Cricetulus griseus: one gene and its partners. The protein of the gene in region 6 interacts with the protein of the main gene of each other region in a pairwise test. Links are inferred from orthologs where the notes say so. Each region holds a gene or a part of one and is shown on either strand. Other genes may lie near its edges. The genes, in order: Lax1, Zbtb1, Ccdc136, Apbb1ip, Ssx2ip, Ndn and Eid1.

What was found.
Region 1: the proteins of Ndn (region 6) and Lax1 interact in a two-hybrid assay, tested with the Homo sapiens proteins (2 studies listed by BioGRID and IntAct). The link is inferred for Cricetulus griseus from reciprocal best matches to the Homo sapiens genes NDN and LAX1.
Region 2: the proteins of Ndn (region 6) and Zbtb1 interact in a two-hybrid assay, tested with the Homo sapiens proteins (2 studies listed by BioGRID and IntAct). The link is inferred for Cricetulus griseus from reciprocal best matches to the Homo sapiens genes NDN and ZBTB1.
Region 3: the proteins of Ndn (region 6) and Ccdc136 interact in a two-hybrid assay, tested with the Homo sapiens proteins (2 studies listed by BioGRID). The link is inferred for Cricetulus griseus from reciprocal best matches to the Homo sapiens genes NDN and CCDC136.
Region 4: the proteins of Ndn (region 6) and Apbb1ip interact in a two-hybrid assay, tested with the Homo sapiens proteins (2 studies listed by BioGRID and IntAct). The link is inferred for Cricetulus griseus from reciprocal best matches to the Homo sapiens genes NDN and APBB1IP.
Region 5: the proteins of Ndn (region 6) and Ssx2ip interact in a two-hybrid assay, tested with the Homo sapiens proteins (2 studies listed by BioGRID). The link is inferred for Cricetulus griseus from reciprocal best matches to the Homo sapiens genes NDN and SSX2IP.
Region 7: the proteins of Ndn (region 6) and Eid1 interact in binary tests that used the Homo sapiens proteins (3 or more experiments, as listed by UniProt). The link is inferred for Cricetulus griseus from reciprocal best matches to the Homo sapiens genes NDN and EID1.

Annotation. Positions count from the first base shown.
Region 1 is NC_048598.1:55,501,480-55,505,663, reverse strand, and holds the start of Lax1 (lymphocyte transmembrane adapter 1), read right to left. Parts: upstream 2,801-4,184; 5' UTR 2,253-2,800; intron 1,264-2,252; 5' UTR 1,115-1,263; coding exon 1,026-1,114; intron 1-1,025. UniProt on the Homo sapiens protein: Negatively regulates TCR (T-cell antigen receptor)-mediated signaling in T-cells and BCR (B-cell antigen receptor)-mediated signaling in B-cells.
Region 2 is NC_048598.1:127,104,443-127,107,942, forward strand, and holds part of Zbtb1 (zinc finger and BTB domain-containing protein 1), read right to left. Parts: intron 2,787-3,500; 5' UTR 2,771-2,786; coding exon 629-2,770; 3' UTR 1-628.
Region 3 is NW_023276806.1:198,421,405-198,425,627, forward strand, and holds the start of Ccdc136 (coiled-coil domain-containing protein 136), read right to left. Parts: upstream 2,801-4,223; 5' UTR 2,749-2,800; coding exon 2,691-2,748; intron 1,957-2,690; coding exon 1,849-1,956; intron 1-1,848. UniProt on the Homo sapiens protein: May play a role in acrosome formation in spermatogenesis and in fertilization.
Region 4 is NC_048596.1:211,346,542-211,350,041, reverse strand, and holds part of Apbb1ip (amyloid beta A4 precursor protein-binding family B member 1-interacting protein), read left to right. Parts: coding exon 1-12; intron 13-1,607; coding exon 1,608-1,909; intron 1,910-3,051; coding exon 3,052-3,129; intron 3,130-3,500. UniProt on the Homo sapiens protein: Appears to function in the signal transduction from Ras activation to actin cytoskeletal remodeling. Suppresses insulin-induced promoter activities through AP1 and SRE. Mediates Rap1-induced adhesion.
Region 5 is NW_023276806.1:12,743,947-12,747,446, forward strand, and holds part of Ssx2ip (afadin- and alpha-actinin-binding protein), read right to left. Parts: intron 3,128-3,500; coding exon 3,017-3,127; intron 1,283-3,016; coding exon 1,147-1,282; intron 1-1,146. UniProt on the Homo sapiens protein: Belongs to an adhesion system, which plays a role in the organization of homotypic, interneuronal and heterotypic cell-cell adherens junctions (AJs).
Region 6 is NC_048596.1:135,134,389-135,137,184, forward strand, and holds Ndn (necdin), read right to left. Parts: upstream 1,479-2,796; coding exon 501-1,478; downstream 1-500. UniProt on the Homo sapiens protein: Growth suppressor that facilitates the entry of the cell into cell cycle arrest.
Region 7 is NC_048599.1:52,888,037-52,891,602, reverse strand, and holds Eid1 (EP300-interacting inhibitor of differentiation 1), read left to right. Parts: upstream 1-1,240; 5' UTR 1,241-1,459; coding exon 1,460-1,933; 3' UTR 1,934-3,066; downstream 3,067-3,566. UniProt on the Homo sapiens protein: Interacts with RB1 and EP300 and acts as a repressor of MYOD1 transactivation. Inhibits EP300 and CBP histone acetyltransferase activity.

The DNA of each region.
Region 1 (4,184 bases), on a different chromosome or scaffold from region 6:
CAACTTAGCCATCTACAATGTGTACATATTTCAAAACAACATGCTTAAATACAGTATAAAAATACAAATTTTACTTTGTAGTTACAAAGTTAAAAAGAAAAAGGAAATAACAACAAAACAAAAATCGATTTAAAAAAGCAATAGTTTTAAGAGTTAGTGAGCTGACTCAGTGGGTAAAGGTATCCACTGTCAAACCTGCCACTCTGAGTTTGATCCCTGAGGCCCACATGGTGAAAGACCCAATCCCTGCACCCTGACCTCTCCACCCTTCTACTCCCCCACAACAAAAATTTAAAAAAAAAAAAAGAAAAAAAAAGGAAATAGCTTTGGGAGGTTGCTTCAGGCTTCAACAATGATACGAACTCATGTCTTTTTAGCAGGCATCTTTTACCTGCAAGGGACATGCAGGATTTTCTCTGGTAATACTAATAAATTTTCCTAAAACTACAATAATTGAAAAGGTTTCACGCCCACTAGCATTTCTGAAGTCTCACCACCCAATAGACTTTTGTTTATCTGAGATTGAGAACTTCAGGGGTGAATTTACATCCATGATTAGTCTGTAAGATCTGATGTCTTATGACTTTTTTTTTTTCAAGACAAGGTTTTTCTGTAGCTTTGGAACTTGTCCTGGAATTTGCTCTGTAGACCAGGCTGGCCTCGAACTCACACCTACCTCTGCCTCTCAAGTGCTTGCATTAAAGAAGTGTGCCACCACTGCCCAGCAGCTTTATGACTGCTATCTCTACATTTACAACTCATGACAAGGTTTTAGGATCTAAAATCTCATTGCTGGGGAACTAGGGCTCTTGTTTTTATCATAGTGGGACAAGAGATTAGAAAGATTGAAGTCAAGGCCTCTGAGAGGAAGGAAATCCAATCAGAAATTCAGCTGTCAGTCCTCCACCTCCATCTCCTTCCTTCCCTCCCAGCTCACAGTTTGCTGGTCCTGGTGGCCCAGGCCTGGATTGTAGGTGTGGCAGCACTACCAGGGACAGTGGCATTTACTTCCCCAGAGCACTCACCCTTCCAGGCTGCCAAGAGTCCCCTGCGAAGTGCTGGGCCCTGAGTTCCTCCTTCTTGTGACATCTGGTGGGGCTGGTGTGGTGTACATCCCTGGAACCTCTCAGGGGCTCTGCAGCATTTAAGTCTTCTCCGTGTCAATATTGACTAGCCAGTATTGTTGCCCTTTTCTTGACTCTTTCTAAGTTGCTGATTCGTAGGAAAAAAAGGCAAATTGGTATGTATTTTGCATACAACCACCTTTGTTTAAAAAAAAGGGAAAAAAGCAGATAATATAAGAATGACAGAAAATTCTCCAAATCTCCATATTTTCCCAAATGTATCTCTCTTTACTCTTGAAATTTCTTTTTCTTTCAATTTTTTTAAGTCTTTATTTTATATGCATTGGCACTTTGACTATGGGTGACAGATCACCTGGAACTGGAATTACAGTCAGTTGTGAGGTGCCATGTGAGTGCTGGGAATTGAACCTGGATCCTCTGGAAAAGCAGTCAATGATCTTAACCACTGAGCCATCTCTCCAACTGCTACTCTTGAAATTTCTTATTCATTTACTTAGATGGGGATGCATGTATCTCAAACTAACCTGGGGCTTGCTATATAGCTGTTCATGCAGGGTTTCATACCTCTCAGGGTAGCCTAGAACTCTTTATGTAGCCAAGATATATAGCTGAAGACGACTTTGAATTTCTGATCCTGCTGCCTCTGCTTCCTTAGTACTGGGACTTACAGGCATATGCTACACTCTGTATGAGCACTAGGGTTGGGACTCTGGGACTGTGCACACCGTAGGCAAGCAGTCTACTGTCAGAACACCCCCTGCCAGCCATCCTTCCTAGATTGTACTCACCAAAGGTCTCATATACAAAAAAAGGTTTTGGTTTTTTTTTTAATCTTTCTGAAGATTCTAATCTTCTGTTCTAGAACTTTCTCCAACTGACTCCCTTTTTTGGGCTGGTGTGATGGCTCTTCAGGTAGAGGTGGTGCTTACTGCCAGCCTGATGACCCAAATTTGCCCCCATCACCACTTTCATGGTGGAAGGAGAGAATCAGTTCCCATAAATTGTTCTCTGATCTCTCTCTCTCTCTCTCTCTCTCTCTCTCTCTCCCTCTCTCTCAAACACACACACACACACACACACACACACACACACACACACACACACACTATAAATAAATGTACTACTATACTAACAACAACAATAATAATAAAACCCAAACCTCCCTACCTTCACCTGAAATTCCAGGCTGAGTTGGTACAAGGTTCCAAAGCATCGAGTTTGGTACACTGGGGGTGACCACAATGCCCACTGGAGAAAGCCAGCTGTCTCTCATCCAGGTGTTGATGTTCCCAGTGTGAAGTGGCTGGGCTGGCTCTCTGGTTTCTGCCTGTTGGTGGAAACGTGAGGTACACAGGGGAAAAAAAATGCCCAGAGGTCCAGCAGATCTGTGAGAAACTCTTTCTTCCACCCCCCCAGAGCAGAGTGAAAATGCAAACTGCTCTGGCAGAATGGAAAGAGTCACTGACAGGAAGCACCTTCACCAGTGTGCTAATGAGGCACGGGGCACAGGAAATGCTCAGTTCTCCACAGGCAGCAGGAAACCCATCTTCAGCCCTGCTGTTCCCCACGGGCACTCTGGCATCTGGGGCACACGTGGTTAAAGAGGGTTAGGGAATCAGAGACAGGATTGATCGCTCTGGTTTTCAAAGTGTTATAAGCCTCCAGGTCAAAATTCGGGGGTTTAAAATACTTTGTTGTTTAGTTTTACTTATTTATTCTTAGTACACTTATTTAGTGTGTCTGCACACATACCATGGCACATGTGTGGAGGTCAGAGGACACTTGGGGGAGTCCTTCTCGCCTACCACGTGGGGCTCAGGAAATCAAACTCAGGTCTTCAGAGTTACAGGCAAGTGCCTGGATCAAATGAACCATCTTGCTGACTGTTTTTGTTTGGTTTTGAAGCAGATCTCACTTCATAGCCCAAGCTGGCTAAACCCATGGTACCCTCTTGTCTTAATGTCCCTGGTGGTGGGGTTCCAGGTGTAGGCTAGGCTCAGGGTTCAGAATGGTTCTTTTCTTTTTCTTCTCCTTTTTTTTTTTTTTTTTGATACAGGATTTTTCTGTGTAGTCTTGGCTGTCCTGGAACTCAGTAGACCAGATTGGCCTTGAACTCAGAGATTCATCGGACTCTATCTCCTGAGTGCTGGAATTAAAGGTGTGTGCTACTACTACCTGGCTTTTGTTGTTGTTGTTGTCCCTTCCTTTCCTTTCCCTTCCCTTCCGTTCCCTTTCCTTCCCTTCCCCTTCTTCCCCTCGTCTTCCCTTCCTCCATCCTTTCCTCCCATCCATCCATCCTTTCTTCTCTTCTATCTTTCTTTTTCTTTGAGACCATTCCCTGACCATTCTGTATTTCACTTATGTAGACCAGGTTGGCCTCAAACTCACAGAGATCCTCTAGCCTCTGCCTCCTAAGTGCTGGGATTAAAAAAGTGTACCACCATGCCTGGTTCTTAGCAGGTCTAAATAGCACTAGAAGTAGTTGTTTAGAGAGAAGTGCGGATCTGGCACCTGCTTGTGGTTCCGTGGGTGGACAGGCCTTATAAATAGATTCTCAGTAGGTGATAGTACCAGAAGCAGTGTTTCACACTTTGTGTACCTCTGTTCCGGTGTCATGGTGGGAATGGAACTGAGCCTGGGTTGCAGGACCTCTGGAGGCTGTTTCTTTGTTGGGACTCGGGGCTGCTGGCAAGGGGGCATCTGTTGCTGGCTTGCCTCTTCTGTAGTTCAATATCAATCCTGGGTAGCCTCTGATTTCAGGTGCCAGTGGTTCCTCCGTAGCGCTGACCTGAAGGTTCCAATCTTAGGAGAATGCTCTGAGTTTGTTTCTAACTCCCCTTCCTTTTTGCTCCACGTATGTTCAGAAGAGTGAATAGAGCATGCAGAGAGCCTCTCAACTGCACTTTCCAAACCAGTTGGGGCGGCAGGAAGATGAAAGGGATGACCATCAGTGCCTTTGTCACCAGGCCTCTCCCTGACCTCTTTCCAGTGGACATTGGAGTCCTTGGCTTCCAGAGCCCAGACAAGCTCTGCCTGTTCTGGCTCTCCCAGGGCTCTAGGATGCTGCAGACTAGTCCTGTAGTCTTCATGAAACCCCAC
Region 2 (3,500 bases), on a different chromosome or scaffold from region 6:
AGGCCAAGATTGAGCCCATGTCCACCTTGAAGGTTAGATTCAGTGCACCTCACTTGCCTAAGTTTGTCAATTTAAGAATATGGATTTCATTGATAAGGGAGAATGAACAGTAGCCATCCACTATACAACTGACAAACAAGCCAAAAAGCCAAAAAAAACCCCAAAAAAGCAAAAGCAAAAAAGAAGCAAAAAATGAATGACAGTTTTAAATAATTATTTAAAAACTCTTAAAAAATTTAAGCAGGAATGGTCAGTAATCTTGGGTTTAAAATTTCATAGGATAACCTTAAAATGAAAGTACATAGAAATAGTGAAATCATTACCTTATTGATTAAAAAAAAACTAGTTTAATAGTCATTGAAGGGATAACAGCCACTTACAGTCTACATTGAAAAGTAATTTTAATGGTAGTTAAGAAAACTATGAACAAAGAATGCTCTTGGAAACATCAAAAATGATAAACATTTAATGCCTAAAATATACTTAAGGTCCTAAACAAAAATGTTAAAGTAAAAGGGCCTTGAAATCTTTCCCCAACACTTCTTATGAAATCAGTGTCTAAATAGCTCATATCCTTTTGCTTTGGTGTTCTGCCTATCAACTAAACATTCGTGCAGTAGAAAGCCCCTCAGGTTCTTTTCAAATGCTTGGCATTATAGTGTGATCTCATATCTTTCCTCAAATTAAACTTTGCTCCACATATTCCACAAGTATACAGATGAACATCCATATGCTGCTCCAACTGTTCATTATTTGGGAATATCTGAAAGCAGACCTGGCATATAGTCTCACCAGCAGATAAATGAGAGATCATATGCCGTACATGGTCATGTTTTCGGAAGTTGCCTTGATCACAAATGGAACAGACATACCTGGCCATGCCTTTGTGCATATCATTGTGCAGACGCAACTGCCGCTCTCTTAAAAACTGCTTTCCACATGTCTGACAAACAAACTGCTTTTCCTTAGTATGAACAGTATAGTGTTCTCTCAAATGACACCGCTGATAAAATCCTTTTCCACACAGGTTACAAAAATGTTTTCGTCTGTGATCTCTTTCATTTTCTTCCATGATGGCACTCTTAAACATATCCTGGTCTAGGCAGCTAGACATATGTTCAACCACTAAATTTTCAGTTTCAAAACGCTGACCACAATTGGGACACCGAAAAGGACAGGCAGAATGTTTAAATAACTGCTTTTTCTGTATACTGTTTATTTGGTAATGACTGTCCCTGAAATCATCCAGCATTTCAACAAACATGTCTCTTATCTCAGACTGCTCATCAGGGTTCTCTTCCATGTCCATTTTCTCTTCAGCATTTCCTAGCCCGTTCATCGTCAGATCCTGAGGTTCTCCACATCTCTGAGCATGTTCCTGAAGCTGTCTGCCCTTGACAAGTATTTGTCCACATTTACCACATGCGCAGATATTTTCGATGTGTTTGGCTAAGTAATGAGATGACAGGTCCTCCTCAGTTATTGTGAGTCCACACAGCTCACAAGATGCATTGTCGGTGTCCTCCTGGATTGGACTGCTATTGTTAGGAGGTCTCATGCTTTCCAAACCACTTCTTTCATCCACACTTACAGACATCCGAGGCTTTAGGGTTTTCCTACCACTCTTTTTAATGCCGACATCTTCCTCAACATAGTATCTATAAAATGGCTCTTCAGGTTCATCTTCTAATTCATCATTGTCAGTGGACTCGTTGCAGTCTTTATCAGTAACTTTAATAATGTTGAAGTCTTTCATCTCATCTGTAGGAATATCTTCTGGTTCCATCTTGATAATAATTCTTTTTGTCTCAGCAGCTCTACTTTTTTCTTCACCAGCCATTCCAGACTCTACCGTGCTTTTTCTGCTTGCAGTGGTCGAAGCTGAACCATCAGGCGCCTGGCTGGCGTCTTCTCTGTATTTGTCTGTCTGTGCAGAAAATGTTTTGGAAGAATCCTTTTCACCGAGCTCAGCTTTGATGTTGCTATCTTTTCCATCTCTAATATCTACTATCCGGTGGTAAGCTCTTGCTGTGTTTTGGTAGGAATGTCTGTTAGTGCAGGTCAGCACATGTTCATCTAGTAATTTTTCACAGCTGAAGCCAAATCCACAACTATCACAGGTAAAGCTCCGTCCAAAGCGACGTGACACACGTTCTTTTGGAGTAGATAGTTTGGACACAGAACTTTTTTTACACACATCGAACAGCGGCTCAGGAAAAGTAGCTAACTGTAAAGACTCTTCATCAGGCTCTCTATTGTGCGGGGTATTCACCGTTGAACTGGGCTCTGCACACCACCGGTTGGCTTCGTTGCCGTTTCTAGCCACTGTGTCTTCATACATTCTTACCCCAAAAATCATCTTGCTGTTCTGTTTGCTGGAAGCAGAAGAAGAACATTTTGAACTAGAACAGTCCGCGTCCTGTATATCTTCTAAGCAGTCGGGAACATTGTAGAGCTGTAGGTAGTTCATTGCCACTTTGAACTGCTCGAAACTGGAAGGAGCAGTCATAATCTTCCCTAAATACATGAACTGCAAAATGAGATCAAAACACTCAGCGCTTATTTTCATGTTGCTGAGATTCAGTTGTGCAGTACTATGCTGATGGTTCATGAAAAACATTCTAAAATAGGAGCTACAGGCAGCTAAGACTGCTTTGTGTGCTTGGAAGTAAATGTCGTCAATAGCAATACAGCAGTCACAGAGAAAACCCCATTCTCTTTGGTTGTTTAGCTGCTGAAGGACGTAGCTGCTGTGACTGGGCTTTGCCATCTTCTATTAATTAGACCTATGCAAAACAAAAATATGACAGTCAGATATCAGAGGCACTTTTAAAGAAGGACACTTTTAGCATGATTTTTGACTTGCATAATTTTGCTATTCAATCATAGTTTTCTATGCCAATGAAGCAAAATCAGAAATATGCTTAAATCATTTTTTAAATCTGAAGATGAAAATATCTAGCCATTTATTTGGTTTTCTCATATTAAACAAAAGGCACCAAAACCAAAAACCTTAATATTTTTAAAGTTAAAAACAAGGCAGAGGCAGGCAGATCTTTATGAATTCCAGACCAGCCTGGAATTCTATGCCAGCCAAGGCTACATAGTGAGACCTTGTATACAAACAAACAAACAAAAAAGGAAGCATGAGTACCCCCAGAAACCATGTCTTTAAAAAGCTGGGCATGGGGTACCCCTCTGCACCCATGAGACTTGCTGGTGGGCCAGCCTGCTACCTTACCTGTGAAGTTCCAAGCCAATGAGAAACCCTGTCTCAAAGACGAGGTAAATAGCACTGAGGAACAAGGCCTCTACACACATACGAATATGTATGCCTCTGTACACAAATGAACATATACACAAAACTGTCTTTATCCTAGAGGGAAAACTCATACTAAATTTGAAAAGGGACAGACATTAAGATACCAAAGTAAATAAAGCAGCAACTTAAACTAAAAGTAAATAACTTGAGTGTAGAGCATTAAAAAAAGCCTTTTGAA
Region 3 (4,223 bases), on a different chromosome or scaffold from region 6:
ACAAGCAAAAAACCCACATCCAGGTGGCCTTTTAATAATAGGAAAGTACTGGCTTGGCCTGTAGTGGAGAAGGAAAACATTGGAAGGGAATGGCTCTGAGCTGTTTACTGGGTAAATGTGGGAACCCTTTCAAAAGCAAGCTATCAAATAACTTTGAAAATTTCTTTTTTTTTTTTTAAAGATTTTATTTATTATGTATACAACATTTCAGCTTCCATGTATATCTGCACACCAGAAGAGGGCACCAGATCTCATAACGGATGGTTGTGAGCCACCATGTGGTTGCTGGGAATTGAACTCAGGACCTCTGGAAGAGCAGTCCACGCTCTTAACCTCTGAGCCATCTCTCCAGCCCCGACTTTGAAAATTTCTACACTAACTTTTATTCCTGTTGGGTGCCACCTCTTTCCTGCTGACCCAAGTTGGTTTTCAGGGTAAGTCTGAAACTGAACTCATGCATAAAAGAAAGCCTGCCATCCAAACACATTTTTTTAAAAAATATTTATTTATTTTATGCATCTGGGTGTTTTCCCTGCTTGTATGTCTGTCTATAGTGTGCATGCAGTAGCCTTGGGGGTCAGTTATAGGAGTTATAGGATGGTTGTGAGCTCCCATGTGGGTGCTGGGAATCAAACACAAGATAACTGCTAAGCCATCCCTCCAGTACTGTTGACATATCTTAAAAACTGAATTGGAGGGGCTGGAGAGATGGCTCAGCAGTTAAGAGCACTGACTGCTCTTTCAGAGGACTTGGGTTCAATTCCCAGCACCCACAGGCGGCTCACAACTGTCTGTAACTCCAGTTCTAGGGGACCTGATACCCTCACACAGACATGCATGCAGGCAAAACACCAATGCACATAAAGTAAAAGTAAAATTATTAAAAAAAAAACCAAACACTGAATTGAGCCAGGTGTGATCCTAACACTTGGAAGGCAGAAGCAGGCAGGTCTCTGTGAGTTCAAGCCCAGCCTGGTCTACAGAGCCAGTCCCAGGACAGCCAGGGCTGTTATACATAGAAACCCTGTCTTAGAAAACAAATACCAAAAACAAAACAAAACAAAAAAAACCAAAAATCTTGAATTGGTACTGGTCCCATTTTTGGATTGGTGAGCACTTCTTTTACTGCAATGCAGTTCCCGTAAATAGCAATCTTGTCTTGGTGGAGACTGCTTTGTTTTTAAATTCTGAATCTCTGGTTTTCTTTTTCTAATACCAATAGCATATGGTTCATCTGAGACCCCTTATGCTATCGAGTCTCTAGGGGAGGCCTGTACTGAACTGTAAAAGGGCCTGGGGTCACTTCACAAGAAGTCCTGGTTGATCCTCCCTGCCCTGTCCTGTGGTGTGGTGGTGGGAAGTTGACTTCGATCTCTCCTAAGCCTCTCTTACTAAAGCTGCAAGGCTCCATTCAAAGTTGACAGTGGAGGCATCAGAAAGACAGTTCACACGCCCGCCCATGTCCTGGCTTTTAAAAATAAGAGACAGCTTGGGATCCAGGTCAGCAGGCAGTGAGAACAAGCGCCCCGCTGAAAGGCTGCTTCCAGGCTCCTTTCAGCAGGACCTCTGTCTGTCTGGCAGCTCCCCCAGGACACACAACCTGGTTAGCTGGGTGACTGGAGCCCAAAGGGATGTGCCCAAACTTCCATCAATGCCTGAGCCCAGGACAGGCTTGGAGCTCTGCCACCAGGGAGGAGGGGCCTGAGATGAAGTGAGGGAAGGGCCGTATCCTGGCTCCTCAGAGCTCTGGGGTCAGGGAAGGAAGTAGGATGGAAGGGAACTGGGGAGTAGGGTGATGGAAGATGGAAAAGCTTTTTTTTTTTTTTTTTTTTTCGACAGAAAACTCACCCTCCATAGCTTGCATCCCACGGCGTTCCAGGGACCCCCAGCGTTGGCCTTTCTTCCTCTCACAACCCTCAGATAACTCATAAGAGCCTAAAGTGGTTACTGTGGGTCCTGTGAGCAGGAGAAAGTAGGCACTGTAGGATTGGAAAGAGGCTGGGGGCTGAGGGGAAAGAAAGGGACGCGGATTCTTGTCTGGGAGCCCCGAAATTTGTAATCCCACTGGAGGAGCCTGACTCACGCTGTCCAGCTGTGTGATTCTACTCCCTTCGCCACCTCCCATGCTCTGCCTAAGGAGAGGACCCCAGCGCGGCGCTGCCCAGCCTCAGCACCCCTGATCCAGGATGTCGCCGGCTCCTCTCCCCGCCCAGACAGAAAGAGGGTGAGTGTGTAGCTTGGGGCACAAGGAGAAGAGGGGTAGGATGGGAACTAAGAAAGAAGGTTTTTGGAGGATGCGGGTGGCTCAAGGCAGGGAAGGGAGGGGCGGCCGGACCTGGAGGGAAGGGGCTCCAACCCAGGCCTCTCCTCTCCCCTCCCCTCCCTCACCAAACCTCGCCCAGCCCACCCTCACCCCCTGGTCAAGAGCTTTTATGAACTGGAAGGGTGCAGGCTCGAGACCCCCCCCCCCGCTGCTTCCACCGCCCCTGGCGAGCTGGAAGCACGGTCGGGCTGGAGAGACGAGGTGGGGAGCACTCGAGGAGTGACCGCTAGGGAGGGGACACCCCCAGGTCGAAAGATGGAGGCCGGGGTGGAGGAAGTCGACTCAGTACCCCGGGCACCCGGGGGTCAGGAGGAAGGAGAGCAGAGGGGGAAGGAGCATGGGGAGCTGAGGGAGGGGCGGCTCTGACCTGGGCCGGGGCAGCTCCAGCCCGCGCTCCCGCGCCGGCCCGCGCCGCCTGCCTCCATGGCCGCTCCTGCCGCCGCCGCCGCCACCGCCGCCGCCGCAGCCTCCGAGCAGAAGCCGCAGCCGCGGGGCCGGGGACCGGGAGCCCGGTGCGGTGCGCAGGGAGGAGAGAGGGCGGGGCGAGGGGGCGGGGCCTGGCCTGGCCACCTGACGCGGGTGCCAGCCTGCCGCCGCCCGGAAACCCTCTCTGTCCCCGCGGCTCCGGACCGCATAGGGACCAGCCCTGGAGGCTCCTTGCGCGTTAACAAAGTGCCCAAGCCTCACCGGAGGCAGCTCCGGGTCTGCTGCGCCTCCTGCACGGCGGACGTGAGCTACCGGGTCCTAAGGATGCTCCCAAGGAGTGACAAGATGGGTGGCTTCTGGCGACAGAACCCACCCTAGGTCAGTCGCTCCTAAGGACCTCTCTGCTCTGGGTCTCTGGGCCTGGTCCTACCTGGTGATTGAGGCACAAACAAACAAACAAACAAACAAAAAACCAAGAATGGACTGTTTCCTGCAAATGCGCAGACACGCGCGCACTTCTTGGTCTCCATGGCCGCAGTTCACCGAGCCCATCCATCTCCTCCTGGCGGCCTCACGTGCCACAGAGCTGCTGCAGGGCTGCAGAGTAGGGAACTTGAGACTTGGATGTGCCAACTGCAAGGCAGGCATCATTGCCTTTTCCGAATTCCCACCAAGCCAGAGCCAAGGACTGACTTAGAAGGAGCCCTCCGTAGCCCAACCCTGCTGCCCTCGGTGCACCAAGACCTGTCCTCTCCATGTCCTTTGAGTCACGCCCCCATGTCCTGTGGGCACCGCTGATGTCCCCTCTAACAGAAGGTGTGGGAAACCACAGGGCTTATTTCACTTTTTCAACTATCCACTCAAGAGACGATCTTGATCTTGAGACAGATCTGACTTCTCAGCAGGTCTCATTCAGGTCAGAAGTGGGTACACAGGAACTGGCTCCCCAAGTCAAAATTGTGGGTCGATTCCTTTTTTTTTTTTTTTTTTGAATTAGAAACAAGATGGTTTTACATGTCAACCCCAGTTCCCTCTCCTTGCCCTCCTCCACTACAAGCCCCCCCCCCAACTAAAACCCTACCTATCACATATCCTTTCTGCTCCCCCTGGAGGGTGAGGCCTTCCATGGGGGGGGTCATCAGAGTCTATTGTGTCCTTTGGGATAGGGACTAGGCCCGCCCCCGTGTGTCTGGGCTCAGGGAGTATCCCTCTATGTGGAATGGGCTCTGTGAGGGCGATTTCTAAGCTGGGTACACACACTAGTTCTTTCTCTTGTAGTCTCATTCTTAAAGTTTGGACATGGATTGGCTGTGTTCACCTTCTCAGGATGCCATGTTCCACAGGAACGAAGTACTTCTTTGCCTACCTATCCCTACTTATCAGTCATTTCAGCCCTACCTTGAGAGTCTCTGGACACCCTAGCCCTTCCTTGTTAGATACTCTGCTGTGCTCTTCTGACTTTGCTGTTAAGATT
Region 4 (3,500 bases), about 76 Mb from region 6:
AGGATTTACATGGTAAGCATGTTTTCTTAAGCAATTTGAAACCCTAATGATGACCGAAGTCTCCATGGAACTATACTCTGACCATGAAACTAAGGAAATGTGAGCATTGTGGTAAATAATGTGTAAGCCCCAGACTGTGGGCAGTATTTTACTATGTCTACACTGAATTAAGAAAGTCCATTAGATATTTTTGTCTATAACAATGAAAGGGAAGACCATCTTCCATTTATGAAAAGTCTCAGGACAACCTCACCTTTTGAAAAGGAAAGCAAAGTTTCTTCTTATTACTAAGGAGCCCATTATCTTTTAATTTTTTTATTACAAAAATTCTTAGCTAGGCATTGGTGGCACACACCTTTAATCTCAACACCTGGGAGGCAGAGGCAGCCAGATCTCTGTGAGTTCGAGGTCAGCCTGGGCTACAGAGCAAGTGCCAGGACACCTCCAAAAGTACACAGAGAAACCCTGTCTCAAAAAGCATACATATATATCAAAGTCATTCAGAGAACGACAGACTTAAGAATGGAATCCACTTCTCATTCTCTATTTTATCTAATGTTGTATTGATTAATATAATTTATCTGTAGTAACATATCTAAGCTATATAAAGAAATTTTAATTCTTTGGCATATTGATATATTAATGAACAACAGAGCTACATGGCACTGATGATGTCTGGCAATGAGCCAGCTCACAGTGCTTTCTGATTTTTTTTACTAAATAGGTTTGTTTTCTGACACTCCCATTTCCTCATTTTGGGCCATCCTGCACAGGGTCCACTCCTTCTTCACTGAACCATCATGCAGTGACTGCCTGATTCCCAGTGCACTCTGCTGATGCTGTCCCCGACACCACTCCCTCTGTTCCATGCAATCTAGTCAACTTGCTGAGCATGCATGTGGCCTCTACAGTAGTCTCACATTTGGACAAAGTCCTAATGAACTCTCTTCCTTCCCCATGTCCCTGTAAGCCTTGTTCATTTTTTCTTATAAAAGCTCACCCAGCCCACTGTTTTCATAAAAACCTTTACTACTTAATCTTACTGGTTTTACTCTTTAACACCTTGGCTGCATTAATCTTGCACTTACGATGGTAAGGTTCCCTGAAGTCAGACGGATGGGACAGACATTTAGATGTTCTCCCTAAAGTCAGATGAAACCCAGCTGATCACCAGTGCTCTCCCTTAAAAATTCTTAGGGAGAACCCCCTTCCATCCATTTCCACTTTCTTCCTCCTCTACTGTTCCAAAGACTGAGGCCTTTGCACCAAAATACTCAGGAGTTCCCTGTGTAGGCATCTGCTCGTGTGCTCCAACCTGACTTTGTGCCTAGAGTGTGAGACACACCCCTGGAGAGCACAAGTTTTCCCTCTTCTTCCCGTTAGAAACTTACTGACATTAAGCACTGAATGTAATTATTTCAGGAGTCCCAATATGTGGGGGTGTGCTACTGGATAAGAATATTCTCCATCTTTCTTATTGTATCATAACAAGTTAAATAATGATTCCCACTTATGCATATGTTGCTCTTAAAAGAAAAACAACTGCTTTCTGTGTTATCCAGATGCAAATAGTTAAGCTTTCTTTTCTTTTCTTTTCTTCCTCTTAGAGTCCTTAAATGCCCTGGAAGACCAAGATTTAGACACCCTCATGGCAGATTTGGTAGCAGATATAAGTGAAGCTGAGCAGAGAACCATCCAGGCTCAGAAAGAGTCCTCTCAGAATCAGCACCACTCAGCGCTTCAGGAGGCATCAGATGGCTGGGTTGCAGCGTCACTTGGTTATGGAGCAAGTGCTGCTGCAGCTGGTGTTGGCCACTATGAAGATGCTTTACCACCTCCACCAGCAGAACCCATGTTAGACCTTCCACCACCTCCACCACCTCCACCACCTCCTGAACCTCTCTCTAAAGTAAGCATTGTAACGAGTCTTTCCCTGCACTCAAAAACATTTCAAGAACCATTGGTGTTAGAAAAGATGATTCTACTTTCAAAGTGTTCTGTAACCAGAACACTTCATTTCCTAATCATAATAAATAAATACATGAATGAATAAATAAATAAGCCCTAACAGTTCTATTCTCAGGATTGTAAGTTATCAAAGGAAGTTGAGCTTATAAGACTATTTCACACTCTTTGCTATTATTGTTCATGTGTGTTATCAGTGGGGTGTTTTGTTCGTTTGTTTGTTTTGCTTTGCTTTGGAGGATTTGTGATTTACAAATCACAAATTTACAAATCACAAAGTTAAGTTTTGACTTTTGTATTAAGAAATTGGATGTTAAGGACTTTTTCAAGTTTCTAATAAAAACTATGAATGTTCCCCTAAATAGACACCATGATCCAAGAGGATGTGTATGACTTTATGAAGTGCTCAACTCCCTTAGGCTGAATACATTACTGGATTCTGTAGGTTGGTCCCTGTATCAGTTCCTTTTCTGTTGCTGTGATAAACCAAAACAACTTAAGAGTGGAAGCGTTTACCTTAATGTAAGGAACAGTTCGTCCTATCAGGGGAGAGAGAGCAGCAGGCCGCCAGAGCAGGAAGCTAACTGATCATATTTCTATTCGCAGGGTAGAAGCAAAGAGCAAACTAGAAGTGGGGTGAGGCGGTAAACTCTCAAAGCCCAGCCACACAGATATATTTCCTCCAGCAAGGTTCCACATCCTAATAGTTCCATTTCTCCACACAGCACCACCATCTAGGGACCCAGAGTTCAAGTACATGAGTTTATGGGGATATTGATCATTCAAACTAACCCAGTCCCCTGTTTTGTGAGCTGATCACAGAATAGCATACTCTAATAAGTGTATGATGCACTTGTTGAGGTCATCATTTCATCTTCTAGGATGAAATTCCCAGGGCTATAAACAATAGTTTCTTTCTGTACCTTTTAGTTAAATATTTAATCACAAGAATTTGTTTATATTCTGGAAACGGGGGATGTAAAATTTGATGATTTTGTTACTATAAATTAACTAGACACTAACACTAACAAGAATTTCCCACTGATATTATTTATTAGACCTTACTGACTGTCTTCTTCTTTACAGGAAGAAGAAGAAGCCCAAGCAAAGGCTAATAAAATTAAATTAGCACTGGAAAAACTGAAGGAAGCCAAGGTCAAGAAGGTAAACCATCAATCACTTTTGCATAGGGGGCATTAAATTAATGATATCATGTTATAGTTACTGATAAACAGTAAAATAAAATCCTCACCTGTCTCTGGGGAGCTCAGTAGCAGGTCCCTGCTTACCATACTCAAGACCCTGGTTTTAACAGTATCATTGAAAGGAAACTAAAAGTGGCACTTTCCAATAATTATCATCTTTAAAGAATTCTCTGGACGCAGTGAAATGGCATAATTTTTCTCTGTATAATATCATTTAGCTAGTTTATGATTTCTGGGTAGGGAACCTGCATCCAACCGTTTCTTGTAAAGGCTTTCTATTGGGTAGTATGATGGCAAAGAGCTCCCCTTGGTGAGATGGAGCAAGAATGA
Region 5 (3,500 bases), on a different chromosome or scaffold from region 6:
ATGTACTCACAGAGGGAACACTGTATCTGTACATGACATTACTTAAGGATACAGGGATGTACTCACAGAGGGAACACAGTATCTGTATATGGTATTACTTAAGGATACAGGGAATGTACTCACAGAGGGAACACAGTATCTGTACATGACATCACTTAAGGATACAGGGATGTACTCACAGAGGGAACACAGCATCCAGCACACACAGCTTTCCCAGAACTTAGCCACAGCTGCCTATCTACATGCTGTTAGGGGACTTCCCTGCAATGGCAGAGGAAGCATGCTGAACTTCCTCATTGTTCGGGCATTACAGAGAAGGCCCTGCCTGACTTGCTAACCCCATCAGTGTTGTCAACCTCACAGGAATGAAAATTTGACAGCACTAATGTCCATCTGCCCCAGATACAGACAGACTCACTTTCATAACAAAAAAGTTATTCTGATTTTGAACTAGTAAATGAAATCTATCTCTTCTGATTGGGCTGGGAAAAGAAACAGCTACCCACCCCAGGCTGCTGCTGCTGCCATTTACAAAGCCAACTCTAAAATCACCCTTCTTTGACATTCAGAAACCACTGTGATGCTTTCGGGTTCCAGTTCTTTATGGGAGTCAGTGTCCTCTGGCTTACTTTTCAACTCCAAACCCATCATGTTAGGCAAATACACGTGCACTGGTGTGAATGAGAATGGCCCCCGGGGCTCATACGTTTGAGTACTTGGTTCCCAGGCGATGAAACTGTTTGGCAAAGGTTAGGAGGTGTGGCCTTGCTGGAGAGGTATGTCACTAGAGCTGGGCTTTGGCTCTTTCTGCCTCATCGTTTGTCTCAGGATGTGATCTCTCAGCGACGCTCTAGCACCATGTTCCTTGCCATAATAGTCATTGACTACTATCTGAAATTGGAAGCCCAATAAACTCTCCTAGAAGTTGTCTCGGTCACTTTGTCTTATAGCAAAAGTAATAAGACAAACTAAATGACCCAGGCTTTTATTTTTTTTCTCTCCACAAACCGGTTGTCTCAGTTTCCAGTTTATAGGGAAATACCTAAATTCTAAAGGCAACCTTGCAATGTATGAAAGTACGTCACCCCTTCGCGCTTATGGGCACATCCCTGCAGGCACGAGGCTCACTCTTGGTAAGCGTCATACCTATTTTTTTATCCTTCTTGTTCATAACAAGCTGGTGCAGCCGCTCCTTTAGTTTATTGTATTCACGCTCTTTTCTCTTCATATCATGATTATACTGAGTAGCCCGACTGGCTATAATGTTTTGTAATTTTTGTACCTGAAAGACAAAACACTTTCTATCAAACAAGTGGTGATGCATCCACTAAAATCATAAATTCAAAAGGTAAAACCAGTCCTAACTGGTCCTAGCTCATATTCCCTCATAATGAGTTTCACTTCTTACCAGTGAACGACAACAATACACAGCGGCACGCAGCTGCCAGCAAGCTGTCTTCTCTCTGAGCAGCCACCGCTGGGAAGCTAGGTCAGGTGCTATTCTTCTGAGTTGGCCGGCCAGCACATGCTAGGCTAGCGCCTACTGCTGAGCCACACCCCCAGACTGCTTTTTACCTGGAGGCTGTCCAAGCTGGACTTGATTCTCAATTCCTGCCCACCTCCCTTGCGGCTGGGTTACAGACCTGTGCTACCAGGCTCAGCTAGGGCAGCTCCTGACAGGAAGTGTACTTTGTTCTTTAGAGCCATCTCAATCCTAGCCATAGAGTGGTGTTTTAGCTTACTCCAGACCAAAGACAAACTTCAAACTAAATGTAATCAACACATCATATCACAATTTTCTATGTAGTAACCTTGGTTAGATAGTCATTATTCACTTTTTTTGTTTTGTTTTGTTTTGTTTTTTTGAGACAGGGTTTCTCTGTATTGCTTTGGAGGTTGTCCTGGAACTCGATCTGAAGAACAGGCTGGCCTTGAACTCAGAGATCTGCCTGCCTCTGCCTCCCGAGGGCTGGGACTAAAGGCGTGTGACATCACCAATGCCCTGCTTCATTATTCACTATTAAATACTAATTAAATGGCATAAAAAGAAATCATAGGCTTTTAAGAAATAGATTATCGGGGTTGGAGAGATGGTTCAGTGGTTAAGAAACTTGCTGCTCTTGCAAAGGACCTGGCTTGTGTACCCATAAAGTGGCTCACAAACACCTGTAACTCCAGTTCCATGGGGACCCAATCTTCTGGCCTCCAAAGGCACCAGCCACATACACAGTACACAGACATGGAGGTAAAACAGACATACACACATTAAAAAAAAAAGAAAATAGAAATAAATTCCCTTCCAAGCCTCTGAGTTAAAGAACAAAACACTGAAAATAATATTTTTTTAGCTACTATATGGATAGGGGTCAGTGTCATGTCATCACAGTGCTGTCAGGATTCAGCTAAAAATAAGGTCTAGGTACCTACCAAGCACATATTAGAGTTGGAGTATTTTGAGTTAGAAGTGAAATTTTTAATATGAATCACCACAGCTTTGTGCATCCTAGGCACTAAGTGTTCCACACTGTGGCCATTTAATCAGGTTAATTCTTTGCTAGATAAAAAAGGGTAATGTTTAAGATCACACACGAGAGGAGAAAGGGGACAGTTCAGTGCAGGGCACTTGCCTAGCATGTGCATGGCCCTGGTTAGGCGAGAGCCACTGAGAGGCCTTCCCTGTAGAGGGAGGCCTTGCTGGAGAGGGGTTGATGCAAGGGGGGAGGTGTGGAGCGCTGCCTCTGTACAGTACCGAGGAGACAACGACGCGTGCTCTCAGTTCTCCTGTGCCTGAGAGAAATGAGAGAGGACCGAAGGGCAGCACAGGGGCCCTGCCTGCCGCCAGCCATGGGCTCATGTCCTCCTGGAGCAGGGCAGAGGACGGGCACAGCGTGGCCACCCACCATGCTAGTGTGACGCAGAATAGACAGTTCTTTTTAAAAGGTGAAGTGGCCATTATGTCACACCTCAAATTCTAAAAACCAATAGTTCACCTCATGCAAGGTAACAGAAAACCCACCTCATCTTTTTCATTCTTCAGAAGCTGATGCAAATTCCTGTTTTTGCACTGTAACTGCCTGTCTCTCTCCTGAAGCCCAATCATCTCTCGTCTTGAGGTTTCCAGTTGTTCCTGGAACATAAAATATGCCACTTGTCCTCAGGAGTGACAAGAACCACACATTAACCTGGGAACTACAGTCCAACTTCTGAGCCACACTCAAGCTTACTTAAAGCAATTACTACCAAGTTCAATATATAAAATCACATGCCTTATTTAAATTCATTTTTATTCTACTTATATACAAGAACTACAACATGGTCTTAAAAGGCTCTTCCTCTGTGCTGCTATCCCTGAAGCTCCCAGAATTCTCTGTAAGGCTTTCACACGCTAGGAGCACACTCATCTACAGCAGGCTTCATACTCTGGGGATGCTTGCCTTTAGGGAACAACAAATGCCACTGAGTGTGAAGAGACTAGGAATACTATCCTTCACACTGCACAA
Region 6 (2,796 bases):
ATACATGTTTGGTAGGGTGTGCTAAGTGCCTACACTGAGAACATTCCAGTTCAAATCAGTCCATTCCACAGGGATGCTTCCTGTGCCAGTTGAGTTCATATAAGAGGGCCCTTGACCTTTCTCTGGTCAGGCCTGCTTTGCTCACCTCCTAACTCTCCTGGGCTTTTATGTTGATACAGATCATCACTTTCATACAAAGAATAGATACACAACATCTCAATGGATTTCACAGGTTCAGCACAGCACATCTCTTGTACAAAAAAGCACAGAAGTGAAAGCATCCACTTGCTTACTTGTAAACGCACATGCATAAATCCTTAACACGCTCCAAGCGAACACAAATGAATATATTGCATTGAAAGGTACAAAAGCACTGTAAGGAAAACTTAAAGGTTACACATGAAATACTGCACTGTGAATGTGGAATACTCTAATGACCCAACCCCACCCTTATACAGCCCAAGTATGGGTCAGAAATTATCAACATGCTGGGGACCTTCCTAATCACCAGAGACACTGCTGCGGGGGCAGTGGGCAGCAAGATTAGCCTCCCGCAGAGCTCTGGCCTGCTCCAGAGCCTCTCGGTAGCGGGAGGGCCAAGCCTGGGGATCTTTCTTAAAGACCCTGGCCAGGAACTCCATAATCTGCATCTTGGTGATTTCACGGTTGGCTCTGGACCCCCAGAAGAACTCGTACTCAGGAGGATCGCTGTGGGGAACAAGCTGGTACTTCAGGTAATTCTGCTGGACGAACTCCTCGGTGATAATCTTCCTCACGTCTCCGAAGGTGGAGTGCTTCTTCCAGGGCCTCAGTCCCAGGATGTGCAGCACATTCCAGACGGCTCCCTCTCTGGCCCCGCGGCCCTTCACGTAGATGAGGCTCAGGATCATGAGCAGGAGGCCTGTCATGGGCATACGGTTGTTCAGCGCCACTCTGTCCAGTTCTGCTGGGCTGAGGGCTTTGACCAGGGCGAACTCCATCGTGTGGATATTGGTCAGCCTCAGGTGCAGCCCAAAAACTCTGGCAAGGATGAGGCTGGTGCGCCGGAGGATGCTTCTGCACCATTTCTTGTAGCTGCCCATGACATCTTTCACCATGTCTGGGAACCAGAGGACCATCCTCTTCTGGTCCTTGACCAACACGTACCACATGAGCTCGTGCGCCTTCTGCACCACCTGGGCCGGGGCGGGTGGTGTTGGCAGCTGACGGACCGGGCTATCGGGATTGTGGGCGCGGCCCTCCTCTATGGCCTGCTCCAGAATCTTAGGGTCAATATCTTCTAACCTTTCTGGAGGCGGCGGCGAGGCCTGCCGGGCTGCCATAGGGCCTTCAGGAGCTTCTGGTGCCTCTGCGACGATCGCGGCTGGAGATGTGGGAGGAGGGACCCCCACCGGAATCTCAGAGCTCTCCTGCACCTCGGAGTTGGCGGCATCAGGTGCAAAGTTAGGGTCGCTCAAGTCCTTACTTTGTTCCGACATGTCTGCGCCTTCTGATCAGAGCAGGACCGCTGCGACTTGGAGCTCTTGGAACCAGCACTCCCTCAGTGGACACCAGCAGAGGAAGTGCGCTTTACTGAGAGCTGTGCCTTCCGCAGCAGCGGCCGGGCGGGGCGGACTTGACACTGCGCATGCGTGTTGGCAAGCCAGAAGGGTGGTAGGGCTGGATAGGAGCTGAGATGCAAAGCCCAACCACTGGGGTCTGAGGGAGGGTACCACTAAACTAATGGGAAAGATCTCCAGGTCTCCTGGGTGAGCTAGAAAGAGATGGTGATGGGGAAGGAGCAAGTTTAAGTAGAAAGATGCAGCTGAGATGGTGAAGTCAAGTTAGAGCACCTTTGAGTTTTTGTGTGAAAGGGGGTAGACTGGCTAGAGAGCTTGGACTTTCTACAAAAGAGTGAGACAGTAATGAGTTTTTGATTTTTTTTTTTTTTTTTGGAAGTGCGAGCATTGTGAAGATAATGTGATGTTTAAGATTGGAATGTTGAAAAATTAATAGAGCAAATCTTTACCAAACCTGAGTCCAGATCCAATACGGAAGAATATAAAGTGTCATTACAGACACTGGAAATCAGCCCAAGTGGAATTTGAATGTTTTGGAAGTAATAAAATTATATAGCATAATTGGTGTGTGTTTAAACATTTTTTTATTGGGATGGGAATTGGCTCAGTCCATGGGTAAGAGCATTTGTAGTGCAAGTGTGAGAACCCTAGTTCAAATCCCTAAGACTCACAAAAAATGTAATGGCATAGTCTGTGTTTGTAAACCCTGCTCTGAGAGGTACAATTAGGAGAATTACAGGCATTTGCCAGAAACCAGCCCAAGTTTAGGTTCAGTGAGAGATCCTGTCTCAAAGGAATAGGGTAGAGAACAATAGAGCAGGATACACAACACCCTTCTCATAAATTTGCATACACTTACACAATATACACATATAATTGACACAAATAAGAGTTTGTCTTTATACACAAGCACAATATGCAGTAAGCAAACTTGCATAATTAACACATATATCACTTTAACCTTTAGGGATATTTAAAATTCCTTTTTCTATCTCCTTAAACATGTATAGCTGAGTACACCCACTGCACTTTGTTATAGTACACTACAGAATATTGTTCCTAACTATGTTCTTGTTTCAGAAGGCAATCTTTATCCTCCATGTTCCTTTCACAGCCTTTGGTAATCAATTTTCTACTCTCTACTTATTTGATGTCATGTCTCCCTCATTTCCACAAATGTTGGAGATCAGGAAGCTTTGTCTATATATAGCCCTTTTCACTTCACACAATTCCATCA
Region 7 (3,566 bases), on a different chromosome or scaffold from region 6:
TGACTCCTTAAAGCATACAGGCTTGAAGGATAAATTTGTAAAGTGAAAAATAGTGTCTTCACACATTTTCAAAGGATTCCTACAAATCAGCAAAACAAACATAAAGTAAGGCCTGTTAATGTGTTGAAAGAAAGCAAATGCCCCCTATACCTACTGAAAGATCATTGTCCTCTAATAAATTAAAGTTATGGAAAGGTTATAAAGATACAATCTTAGGGCTGGAGAGCTGGCTCAGCAGTAAACAGCATCAGCTGCTCACACTAAGGAGAGAGTTTGGGTCCTAGCACTTACAGGGCAGTGCAAAACTGTGACCTCATTTCCAGGAGATGAACATCCTCTTCTGGCCTCTGCAGGTGATGCACACACAAGGTGCATGGGCGTTACACAGAGGCAAAACACCCATACACATAAAAGAGAACAAGCTGATAAAACTGAAATTAATTTTATTAATTCAATAAAACAACAGGAGCCAAGGGTGTGAATATTCTCAAACACTGCAGGTTAAGTTTGTAGAGCAATTGTGAGCCTGATTACCCATGTTTATTTAAAATATGCATATCCTATGAGCCTAGAAAAGAACACTGTGGCTTCCATTTTCTCCATGGTGTACGTACACACACACACACACACACACACACACACACACACACACACACAATTTGTCCACGATTAGGTCAACGTCAGTATATTCAGGAAGAAAAAAAAATGGAAAGCTGAATTTTCGTGCCGCGCAAGCCGGCAGGCGAGGTGGATTTGAAATGATGAGCAGTAGTGGACGTCCTGGTCCCAAGGGATGCTGGGGAGGCAGGAGGTGGATGACTGACAAGGGATGCTGGGAAGGCAGGAGGTGGATGACTGACAAGGGATGCTGGGGAGGCAGGAGGTGGATGACTGATGGGATGCTGAGGAGGCAGGAGGTGGATGACTGATGGGATGCTGGGGAGGCAGGAGGTGGATGACTGCCAAGGGATGTTGGGGAGGCAGGGAGGTGGGGGAGAGGCGGCAGTCTGTCCCAGAAGCCCGGTGTTTTCCGGTGCAGGGACGTGACAAGTGTGACAGAGCAAGCAAACATCAAGGAACCTAGAGCGGGGTCTGCAGATGGAAGGTCCAGACCCAGCAGAAGCTTCTGGGAGTCCGGCCCAGCTGGAGGAGGGGGAGGTGGTGGTGGAAGGGGGGGGGCTAGAGCGGTCTAGAGCTCACGCACGCGCACCACGCCCACCTCGCGCCAGGCTGGCACGCGCACCCAGCCCGCCTACTCGCCTGCGCGCGTGTCCCGTGCCCCCCGCAAGTGCACCACGCATGCCCACTCGTCTGCGCACGCACGCACGCAGGCACGCACTCCCGCACGCGCGCCACGCCGACCCACTCGTCCGCGCGCGCACGCGCCCGCGCACCACACCCGTTCGCGCGTCCGTGTCGGTGGAAGCGTTTCGCCTGGCTGACTTAAGAGGCTTCCACCATGGCGGAGATGGCTGAGCTTTGCGAGCTGTACGAAGAAAGCAACGAGCTGATGGACGAGCTGCCCGGCGAGGGCGATATGGAGGTAGGCCGCGGGGCCCGCGGGCCCGCGGAGGAGGGCCCCATGGAGGAGGAGGCCGCGCCGTTAGCCGCCCGCGCCCAGCGCGGCCTGTTCCCCGAGGCTGGCGCAGATCTGGAGGGCGACGAGTTTGATGACTGGGAGGACGACTACGACTTCCCAGAAGAGGAGCGCTGGAGCGGCGCGATGCACAGGGTGTCTGCCGCGCTGGAGGAAGCCAACAAGGTGTTCCTGAGAACGGCGCGAGCCGGAGATGCCCTGGATGGCGGGTTTCAGGCGCGCTGCGAGAAGAGCCCTTTCGACCAGCTCGCCTTTATCGAAGAGCTGTTTTCGCTGATGGTTGTCAATCGACTGACCGAAGAGCTCGGTTGTGATGAGATCATTGATCGAGAGTAAATGCTGACGAAAGAGGAGGAAACTACCTGAGAGGGAGAGATTCAACATTCTGCTGTTTTTGGGTTCATTCCAACTAGTTTTGTGCAAAAAACAAAAAAAAAAAAAAAAAAAAAAAAAAGGTTTTTGTTTCCCGGAATAGAAGACAAAACAGTGAGTGACCGTGCAGTCTTGGAAAAGGAGAATCGAGGAAGGAGGGGCTCAGCAAAAAAAAAAAAAAAGCTCTGGTTCAGACTGTTGAACGAGATGATTTTTCCCTGCGTTGGAGAAGAACTTGGTCGTGTTAAGCTTGTAAAAATGGTTTTGCAAGAGAAAAATCGTGACTGCCAATACAAGAATCTAATTAGAGAATGAAGAAGAATACATCCACAAGATATCTTTGATTCGAACTGAGAGCCTGTTGAGAAAACTTTCCAAATTCTGTTTTGTGGTTTATATAAATCAGTTATCAAAAGCTAAATTTGAGATTTAAGATTGAGTATTCATCGACCCCCCCAAAGAAAAATCAAAGTGAATATGTGTGTATAAGTGTAGATGTGTGTTACCATGTGTACTATTATCTTAAAATGTGTTACAAAAGCTGGGATTTGACTGCACATGTATCTTCATGATTTATAAAGCTACTGTGATCTGTAATTTGGAAAAATCCCTTGTGATGATTTTTAAAGTTACATATTAAAAAAAAGCCAATCAGGATATCTTTTTAAAGTTTTAAGTTCATGCATTAAAATTTATGGGAAAGCCCAAAGACAAACTTTCTAATAAATACCCTTTTATACTAGGGAACTTTTACTCACTGTTTTTTACCTTGACAGATGGTAAGACTATAGCTGAACTTCATATTGTAAGAACTGTTTGTGAAAAATTGTCAAGTAAAAGGAAACCCTACCTGTACCTATAAAAGATTATATGAGCTATTATGCTGTCAAACTTTGGAGGTTTTAAATCTGCTCAGAAGTCCACCTGGATACCTGATACTCATATTCTCTCTCTCTCTCTCTCTCTCTCTCCTCTCTCTCTCTCTCTCTCTCTCTCTCTCTCTCCCTCTCCTCCTCTCTCCCCGTCCCTCCTTCTGATCATGCTTGTTAGTCCCTATGCACCAGCATTGGCGATAATAAATTTTCCTGTTCTGTGTATTTTGTTTTGTCTAATAGCTCTGCATAGATACTTTATTTAAGCAAGATTCTTTTATTATGTGGTATCACTGCATTCATCTTAAGATTTAAACAGCCAGTGCTTACAATGGTAAAATGAAACCATTTTCAATTAATTACCTGACCAATAGAATGAAAGAATTGGCCAGCCTACGGAAACCTGCCCTGCATATATGTTGCTGTGTGTTATTTGGTGAAGATGCTGAAGTTCCTTGAGTGGTAATTGCATCAAAGGCCATGCCAAGAAAAATTACTCATTAGCACATCTTTTATGATGAATTAAAAAGTCTGACTGTTCCTATGCCATGATGGGAATATAGGACAGTAGGATAACTCCTCGGGATTTTTTTGGCTGGGGGTGGGGTGGTGGTGGTGGTGGTTTATTTGTTTTATATTCATCTTGTTTGGGAGGCTGGGCAGGTGGGATGGCTCGGTGGGTAAAGGCAACTTCTGACATACACCCAAGCCTCATGACCAGAGTT